Kluyveromyces lactis: one gene and its partner. The protein of the gene in region 1 binds, or shares a complex with, the protein of each later gene. Links are inferred from orthologs where the notes say so. Each region holds a gene or a part of one and is shown on either strand. Other genes may lie near its edges.

What was found.
Region 2: YML6 (region 1) and RTC6 share a complex: the UniProt entries of both Saccharomyces cerevisiae proteins name them as parts of the mitochondrial large ribosomal subunit. The link is inferred for Kluyveromyces lactis from reciprocal best matches to the Saccharomyces cerevisiae genes YML6 and RTC6.

The regions. Positions count from the first base shown.
Region 1 is NC_006038.1:118,804-125,314, reverse strand, and holds YML6 (mitochondrial 54S ribosomal protein uL4m), read right to left. Parts: upstream 3,452-6,511; coding exon 3,413-3,451; intron 3,245-3,412; coding exon 2,495-3,244; downstream 1-2,494. Other genes in the region: YHP1 (Yhp1p), read left to right, coding at 1-288; RPS18A (40S ribosomal protein uS13), read right to left, coding at 722-1,115, 1,646-1,692; snoRNA-binding rRNA-processing protein UTP6, read left to right, coding at 4,024-5,388; chromatin-binding transcription regulator ADA2, read right to left, coding at 5,482-6,511. UniProt on the Saccharomyces cerevisiae protein: Component of the mitochondrial ribosome (mitoribosome), a dedicated translation machinery responsible for the synthesis of mitochondrial genome-encoded proteins, including at least some of the essential transmembrane subunits of the mitochondrial respiratory chain.
Region 2 is NC_006041.1:1,683,299-1,686,836, forward strand, and holds RTC6 (mitochondrial 54S ribosomal protein bL36m), read right to left. Parts: upstream 870-3,538; coding exon 627-869; downstream 1-626. Other genes in the region: tRNA (34-2'-O)-methyltransferase regulator RTT10, read left to right, coding at 1-449; kinetochore-microtubule binding complex subunit SPC105, read left to right, coding at 1,453-3,538. UniProt on the Saccharomyces cerevisiae protein: Component of the mitochondrial ribosome (mitoribosome), a dedicated translation machinery responsible for the synthesis of mitochondrial genome-encoded proteins, including at least some of the essential transmembrane subunits of the mitochondrial respiratory chain.

The DNA.
Region 1 (6,511 bases):
TACACTATATCCAGTCCACCTGAAAAAATTACTTCCCCCTCAGAAAAGGGTAAAGTACTCACTTTTAGGTTGAAGCAAGACAATGAACTCTCAAGGGTCTATACCAGCCCGAATAACAGAGTGAACAAGCTGATAAATGGTACAAATATCAAAGATTTTGTTACTACACCCGTCAAGGAAGTAACAGACGAGAATGTCAAAATGAGTGAAAATATGAATACGGCTGGAAAGCTCAATTTCAGTTCCAACAGAGGCATATTAAAAGAATTGAACATCAATACGACATAATGATGACAAACTGACAAACCTTAGCATGGTCGCTCGGCAGACCGATACAAAGACAATTGTAACACTATCCTGCGTACAGGAAAGACATCCACCTGTATATAGATATATCTATATATTCTTACTCTCCGCTTAACATTAGCTCGGACTATAAAAGCCATAACCTGTATTTCAAGATATCCTAGAAAAATGGACAGGATGATTCAATCATCACTTTGCACAAGCAAGCAGCTGTAAGACATATTATAATAAGTCTTGAGATAATGTAATTAATACGGAACGTATAGTGTTTTGATAGTTATACAAGAGATAATATAATGAAAAAAATTCTAAATTAAAGTTGGTATCACTAATTTAAAACATTTGTGCCTTGAAAGGTTGCAAGATTCCAAAGTAGAAACCAACCATTTTAAAAATAGAGAACTCATTCTCTTGTTTAAGCTCTTCTTCTACCAGTGGTCTTGGTATGTTGACCTCTGACACGCAAACCCCAGAAGTGTCTGATACCACGGTGAGATCTGATCTTCTTTAATCTTTCCAAGTCATCTCTCAACTTGGATTCCAAGTTGTTAGCCAAAGAGTGGTAGTCCTTACCATCATTGACATCCTTTTGTCTGTTCAAGAACCAAGCTGGGATCTTGTAGTGAGTTGGGTTTTGCATGATTTGGACAATTCTTTCCAATTCTTCTTGGGTCAATTCACCAGCTCTCTTGTGTAAATCAACATCAGCCTTCTTACAAACCAAGTTGGCGTATCTACGACCGACACCTCTGATGGTAGTCAAAGCGTAGACAACATTGATGTTACCATCAACGTTGGTGTTCAACAAACTGTAAAAATAATGGGAATAAAAATGTTAGTAAAATTTGATGATAGTCAATCTGAGGGCGACAACGGAGGAAAACCCATAAACACAAAATGCTTCTCCTTGCTTCGATTATGCAGTTTGGTACTTTGATTGTTTTCGATGCCTAAATCAACATAAAACTTTGGATGACCTAACGTAAAATGTCAGAAAGGAGATCCATTTTTGAGTTCAACATTCTGCATATTGTCTACTAACGGGCGTAAGCTTTTCAATTCGATTTGATCTTTGGAAAAATTGTGGGACCATCTATCTGGTGGTATTCCTTCTCATTTTCTTCACTTTAATAGTATAACATCATCACTAAATGATATACCGAATGTAACGCGCAATGCATGTTTTCATAAAGCTGTCTAATACCTTTCATCTCCTCGGAACTCTTTATAACCACGGTAGTGTTGTCTTGATAATACTCGTATTCATTGCCCTTGAACATATCTCATTTCAATTTCCTCGTTGTAATCCTCTTAAAACGTTTCTCATCTTAAAACATACCGCAAAATGTGTTGGAAGGAACCTTGTTCTTGAACAACTAGAGACATCTTTGCTTCTTACTCGTTCTGTTTCGAAAACGACTACCTAATAATAAAGTATCCGTTATTTAAATATAATAACACTAATATATCATTGTTAAGTAGCTTTTCACTAATTGAACACTATGATTTTGCAAAGGTTCAAAGGTTTCCCTCCATACAAACTTGCCATTCGGTAAAACCACTATAGAACGATTGTCTCACAACCGCACAAACCAGAACTGGACAGAGGCCCAGCATACTCTGTCACTGAGCAAGATCGGTCTAGTGGTGCATGTTCCCAGCCTAGGAGCAGAAGGTGTCGGTAGGAGAAGCAGAATCAGGGGGATGGAAATTCTGTCGGGGAGGAGAAACTGGAAAGAACCGAGGCGTCGGCACACCTAATGCCCTGTCTTTCCTTAGGCACGGAGAAAACTCAGCCCAAAGTCTGAAAAACGTTGGATGGGTTTCCTAATCAGGAAACTTGAAGGAAAGGAAAAATTAAACTATTATTCGGTTATAGGCGCATTGAAAATAATAAAATGCACGGGTGTATAAGGCTTCCGACAACAGTCCGAAATGGTTGCGTCTGTTTGTCCTCGATTTGGATTTTACAGCTTGATGATGGCCACAGCATTGGTCAATTGTCTTTACAAATACGGATGTCGCTAACTTAGATAAACAGCCGTGTAGCTATTTTCATTTTATTTGTGACGTTAATATACACACATACATATATATACAAGTTGTGGATGAGTTGGTGCAATGTGGAGTTTATTATTCGAAGCTTTTATTTTAACTCCCGTCTGATGATCAGTATCTCGTTCCATAATCAAACAACGTGAGTAACAGCCAGGTATTCTAAAGCTTCCAATTCAATAAAGATTCTGTGAGCCTTAAGTAGATCGTTGACATCAACAAATTCTTTTTGGACGATGTTAACTTTATCTTGGAATCTTTCTGTAAATGAAAATAATCCTGGCCTTGGTTCGTTAATAACGAATAATAGCTTCTTGTTCTGTAGCTCATAGTGCTTTAGGAATTTTTCGAACACGATATCGCCATCTTCTGAGCCCTCCCCGATGGGAAGAATTTCCAATTCATTTAGATCAGCCTGGCTTGTTTCGGAGATTCCGTCACCACTTCCGATGACGAAGACGTTACCGTTTCTGTATTGATGACTTAGTGCGTTATTGAATGCTAAAGAGTACACTTTCTTTGGGAGCGCTGTGGTATAATCATTTGGTGCAGTTCTTGCTAGAGCTCTACCACCGTTATGCCTTATTGGTGAATTAGCGTCACCAGCTCTGGCCATACCAGATCCCTTTTGTGGTAAAATCTTTCTTCTCGAATAACCAACATCACTTCTGCCTGGGGGGTTAGAAGACCCAACACGTTTACTGTCATTTTCGTAAACAACAGCACGCCATAGTAAGTCTCTTCTCAATGGAGCATCAAATACTGAGGTTGGCACTGGTGCAAATGTCAATGGTTCTAATGATGGGAATGAACGAACCGTTGCTAAGGTATATTTTGGCGGTAGACTAGCATTAGGAAGGGGTTTGTTGGAAACGTAACGGACCTGTAGAGAATAGGGAAAAGAGTAACAAAAAATTACGAGCAATAGTTAGTAAATCGATCTTCTAAAAGTAGGTGATATAACTGCTTAATGCGGAAGGATATCATCATGCAGTTTGAGGAAAGCCCGCGCTTTACCATTGCAACAGTGATGAAAATGGGTTTGACATACGTTTTTGCACAAATTCAAACCTTGTCTCTTGGAAAACATGGCTGATTCTGATACACTGACTTAATGTCTCGATACAAAGGGGATCAATTGGACACTCCTATGTCTGATCACCGCAAACAAATCAATCATCTTTAGTATTCAACCTATTTCATATTCAGATTTTTGATTATCGAAAATTTGTCTACCATGTAAAATATCCGGGTAATGTTAAATTGCCCGAATTAACGATCAACAAAACTGTCATCTTGTATGAAAGCATACAACGACATTAAGGGTCGCAGTTTATGGTAGTCCCGAATGTCATATGTAAGCGGATTCAATTTGCAGTAAAAAAAAATCCGATTTACGCTAGCAGAACAACAATTGTACTTGTCCTTTTGTTATTCATCGATGGTTATTTAAATGGAGGACTTTATTCTGACTGATTATATGAAAAAGAAATCAATATAACCAAAAAAATTCAAAAGCTTCAAGGCTCATCTCATCTCATCTCAGTATTATTTAGCATGAACAAAGCCAGTAGTCGTTTCCTTTGTCAGTAAGCGAGCGATACGAGTCTCCGTGATTACACTTTAATCAATACTTAACATAAAACTACCCAGAGTAAGGCGATGTCATCCAGAACAAGATATTACTTGGAACAATGTATTCCAGAAGTTGATGACTTAGTGCAGAAGAAGTTATTCACTAAGAATGAAGTAAACAAAATTATGAAGAAAAGGACTGATTTTGAACACAGATTGAGTTCGAGAGGTTCAAGTATAAGTGATTACATCAGATATATTGAATACGAGAAGAATGTCGATGCATTAAGAATGAAACGTGTTAAACGTATCTTGCAATCGAACAAATCAAATAGTATTTCGGATTTTACCATACAGCAGAGGATTCTCTATATTTTCCAAAGAGGCTGCAATAAGTTCCCAAAAAAATTGAAATTTTGGTCTTTATATTTGAATCATTTAAAATCAAAGGGTACAAATGCCTCTTATAAAAAGATTCAAAACGTCTACAATCAATTGCTCAAATTACATCCAACAAACGTTGACGTTTGGATATCATGTGCTAAATATGAATACGAATTGCACGCAAACTTCAAGAGCTGTAGAAATGTTTTTCAAACTGGTCTTAGATTTAATCCAGATGCTTCTAAACTCTGGTACGAGTACGTTAAATTCGAACTGAATTTCGTGACAAAATTGTTAAATAGAAGAAAAGTGATGAATTTAATCAACGAAAGGGAACAAGAGCTAGATATGCTACAACAGCAAGAGGAAGGAAGAAACTCCAGTAATGTAACAGGTCTGGAAGAAACTGCAGATGACGAAGCATACTTTGACAAAGACGGAATTCAACTTCCAAGTACTGGTGACAAGATGAAAGATAAACTAAACGAGTTACCAGAAGCCGATATGAATATGCTTGGATCAGAAGAAACTAATCCAGCACTACGTGGTGATGTCGCATTGGTTATATTCGATATCGCAATGAAGAATCTGGGCACATCTTTTGTCAAGAAACATCAAGGATACTACGCCGTTACCAATTCGCAAGTCGATGAAGAGCTCAGCAGAAACGTTATGTCCTACCTGTTTGATAGATGCCTCGAGTATATCAACTTATTTTCGGAATTTCAAGATTTAAAAAGAGAATATCTGATAAATCACGTATTGCAATGGCTAAAGGACGAACATTATAATATTTCCCTTGAGAAAAGTATGCCAGAAAAATATGTGGAATTATTATTGCATGATGTTACATTAAATATCAAATTCATGCCTGCCGGCGAATTAAACATCGACAGTCTCCAATTGTCCTTCAAAAAGTATTCTGCATACATCAGCAAATTAGATGAGACGAATGCCAAACAACTTACTACATTATATTCTGGTTATTTGACCCAACATCTATTATCCAATATGGATAAATCTGATTCGAAGTATGCTATTTTGAATGCTATTATCAAGAAACTGTAATGAGACACTGTATACACATTTTTATGTACATATTTGACATTAAGTAGTAAGGTAAGCAGTGGAGCCAATATTTCCACAGTTTTATAACTCTAATTAAACCCAATTCTGAGAAACGAAGAAATCATAGATTCTGTTGGCCTTCGTTGCCTCGATATTCAATAAATCACGACACTGTTTCTTCGAGAGTTGACCTGCAGTCCGTATTAATTCTCTGAATAGTACCTCTTTGATGGCAATGTAAGGCTTTGGCAAAATTTTCAACGTTATGCATAACTGCTGTTCCTCAGCTGATAATAATTGGAAATCTGCCCCATGCTGAATGTCACTGATAGTCATTAGTTTCTTACGTCCACTTCCTTCGTTATAATTTTGAGCATAATCAGCTTGCGATCTATGGGCCGAAGTAGCTCTATAACGGGCAGTGTTACTAGATGAAGAAGAAGAGTACACTTGACTTCCAAATCTTTCCAATGTCATAATTCTTGCTTGTTTATCACGTTCATATTTAAGACCAGCTTCCAAAGTAGTGATACCGTTGCTCCTCCATTCTTGCAATTGATGAATTCTTGTTCGACACCGAAGTTCTTCCAATATGTCTTTGCTGAATTCTTCAAAATCCAGCGGGGACATGATTCTTGCGAAAGCCTTAATTTTGTTGTACAAATCTTTGGTTTCTTTTGAACGCTTCTTATCGAGACTTTGTAGTCTCCTGTATTCCATCAGACAATTGTCAAACAACAAACGCTTCTTTTCTGCTCTAGTCGTCAATCTCGAGTTGTAGATGTCAAGAATAGCCAACTTCACTTCAATATCTAACGGTTGATCATCGGCGTCGAAGACCATATCTTTGACCGGACCTTCGGCCTCATTCTCGAACTCCGTTTCGAATTCCAATCTACCTGGCATAAACCCTTGCACTTCATGGCATGACGGTTGTGATGCCATCGGTTTCCTAGGAGGTTCCAAAGGCCTTTCCCTAAATCTTTCCATGCGTTTCTTTCTTTTCTCCAAAAATTGTTCTTGCGGTTCATTAATGTCTTTTGTGATATCTGGAATAGGATAGTGTTCACTGTTCAAGTAAAACTTCAAATAATGATCATAAACTTCTTCCTTATCTCTAGAT
Region 2 (3,538 bases), on another chromosome or scaffold:
TCAAATTGGAAACAAAACAATTACAAAACTGGTCCGAAAAAATCCTGGTACACACAGCAGGTATCAAATCACTCGACGTGAAGCTTGACAAGTCTTCGGATTCATTCAAAGTATATTCTGGGGGTGATGACAATGCTGTAGCCATCACTAAATTTACGAACAATGACAACTACACGATGAAAGCCGAAATACTAGATCACGATTCGTATGCTGCTTCATCAACAGTAACATCAGTGAATCTGTTAGATAATGACACAAAATTATTGGCTACATCAGTGGACCAGGTCATAAGAATTAGGGACATTACGAATGACAAACTGAAAATAACGGAGAGCAAATATACCACAGTAGCAGATACCGGTTCCAGTGATATAGTTACGTTACCAAACGTCCAGAAAACACTTATATTAATAGGAGGATTAGGACTTTCCTGTTGGCGAGATGAATAATATCTAACCATCTAAACTTCAGAATTTTATATATTTAAAACCAGTTTATTAGTATAGAATGGAAATTATTTATAGAAAGAAGGCTGCATTTTTCCACATTCAAGAAAAGAACACATCCTCCATTATGACTTATCTATATACATGAAAGATTGGGACGAATGGGAGGGCGATTGTAATTCAACCTTGACGTTGTTTATGCTTCTTATTGGACTTACAGTAAACGTACACTCTGCCCTTACGTCTAACCATGTAACAATCGTTACAGAACTTCTTGATGGAAGTTCTTACCTTAAAACCTCTGGTCAAAGGAGGGTTCATAAGACCCATCATTGGCATAGATAGCATATTGATACTTTTCACAGCTGGCCTTGTCAGTCTTGTCAACGAGTTCAACATCGTACTTCCGAAAAGTGTGCTCATTATGTATGTATTTCCCTCTCTTTATATTATATCGGGCTCCAGAGTTATACCTGTGAAGAGTTTTCAGTTTTTGATATCACCCACGGTCTTGAAACGTACTAATGGAGTCCACAATCGTCAATAAGGCATCACACCGACTGAACATGCCCTCTATAGCTGATGATCTACCATGAAAAGGCCTTCGATAATTTTTCAAAATAGTTTCAATGGAGATTAAGATATTTACCCGGACTATAGCACGTGATGGTTATGACCTGAGATCTTGAACATCCTCATCTAGTGAACATCTTTGGGCAAATCTGAAGACCGTTTCGAATCACTAACAAATAAATAATTGATGAAGTACACCCATCCTTTCTAAGAGACTCTTCAAGGCAGTTGTTTTATCCTTTTTCTCGGTTCTCACTGTATGTGCAGCAGCGCTCTGAATCGAAAACATTGAACTTCGAAAACGTAAACAATCGAATTTTAGATCAATATATTGACACACAAATACCGAATCATCATAAACTTAAGGACTAATATTTAGGTTAAGTTTCCATTTATTATCATATTTCACCCTGTGTTGATAGTCTCGCTTCATATGACAGATCCAAAACGATTGTCTTTGCTTCCGAGAAGTATCCTTAAGCAAAAATTTAAGGATGATGATACAACTAACACCAGTCATAATTTGACTATGTCCCAGATACAGTTTCCTACTGAGGGAATTACCAAAGAAGATATACTGGACGGAAACAATACGACATCCCGGATCAGTGCTGCGATTTCGAAGGGAAATCGCCGTGTGTCCTTTGCACCAGATGTGACTTTGCACAAGTTCGAATTCATACCACAATCGATTCAAAATGTAAGGGAACCTCGAAGGAAATCCGCTTTAAAATTGGAAGTGGCAGTAGCTGAAGCCTCTATGGCCGATACCAAAAATGATAACGACAATTCTGGAGAAACAATGGAATTTACTAGTCCGATAGGTTCAATATTCCAAAAATTGGAGTCTCCAAGCGAACCGAAAAATGATGGGTACCAACCTGTGTTCGACAAAGAGGTTTCAATGGATATAACACAGTTATTTGCAAAACATAGCGCTAAACCAGACGATAATGTGGTACCGCAAGAAACCTCTACTGCTGCGGAAGAAGAAGAAGAGAATGGTAACGAAGACCAAGTTTTGGAGGAAACAATGGACCTTACAGAACCGCAGAAACGCCGCTTTAACGAAGAAGAGTCTATGGAAATAACTGACCAAATACGGATGGATGCAGAAAAACCTACGCTAGATGCAGATTCAGAATCTGCTTTCAAATTACCTAAGATACCAGCAATTACAGAGGAAACAATGGAATTTACAAACGTGCAGGCTCCTCTGGAGATGCGAGAGTCACAGATAGTTTCTTCAACTCAACTAGAACCAACTCAACTCCCGCAGTCAAAAAGAAGGAAATTATCTAACGGTGGTTATCAGTCTCCGGTCAAATTGCAGGTACCAGTGCAAGTGCAAGAGACCCCTGAACAAAAAGAGAATATAGATGCGGAGCTCACAGAGATGGAACGATTATCGCCAATTCCGTTGGCAACAAATTCTTTACCAAAACCAAAAAATGTCGGCTCTCCCATACTATCCAAAACAAGTAAACATGTTCTATCAGACACTCAAAGTCAATCGGGACCAATCTCCTTGCAGACATTTTTTGATGCTGCTAATATAAAATTCAACGTTGATACCCAAATAAACGAATTTCAAATCGATCTTAAGAGTACGAATAACATCGAACATGTCCCATCTAATATAATATACCAAGCGTTATATTGTAAGATTCCAATATTAGAGATTCAAGCTTTCACCGCAAAAGAACTAACCCGAAGAATTCTACAATCAAGGAATCTCTTAAAGAGTCTTCGAGAGCAGATTGCATCCAACGAACCCCCCAGGTTGATAAAAGAGTATTTTGAGGCAGATACTGATACCCGTTATGCTATTAACGAAAAGTTAGAATTAGTAACCATAATGGCTAGATTACAATCTGAAAAAGTCTGGTTTGAGTGGAGATCACAACATTTGAAAGGAATTAAAACAGTCCTGGAAGAAAATATAGCTATCTTGGTGGATGAAAATGCCCAGATCATGAAATACATGAATGAAATAAATGACGTGAAAATAAGAGTTAGTGACATCAAACAGGTGTTAATGAAAGAACTTGATGTTCTTCGGCAGCACAACGATGTTTTTAGTAACAAGAAAGAGAACATAACGACTCTCCTGAAAGTGAACAAATTGAAAGGAGACTTGAGGGAGAACATGCTAAAGGTGTCAGACTTGAACCAGCTGACCACTAAAAAAGATCAACTTACCCAAAAAATACAAGATGCAAAATTGGAGATGAGTAAAGTGAACGAAGAGATTGCTCAACTTCGACAGGACTTGAAACAAAGCAAAGTTTGCACAGAATATGATGTGGCAAAGCTTAAACTAGTCCATCAGCTTTACCAAAGCATTTCTGGTATAAAGTTCAGAAAGTTAGTTGGTCCAGTCCTATCTGTATCATTACATGACGACAAAGTTATTGTGACAGCTGATCTTTCAAAAATTGATCAACCGTCATGTATTTCATTCAGTATTAGAGAAGAACGAATAGACCAATTTGAAAGAGAATTTATAAACTGTTGGA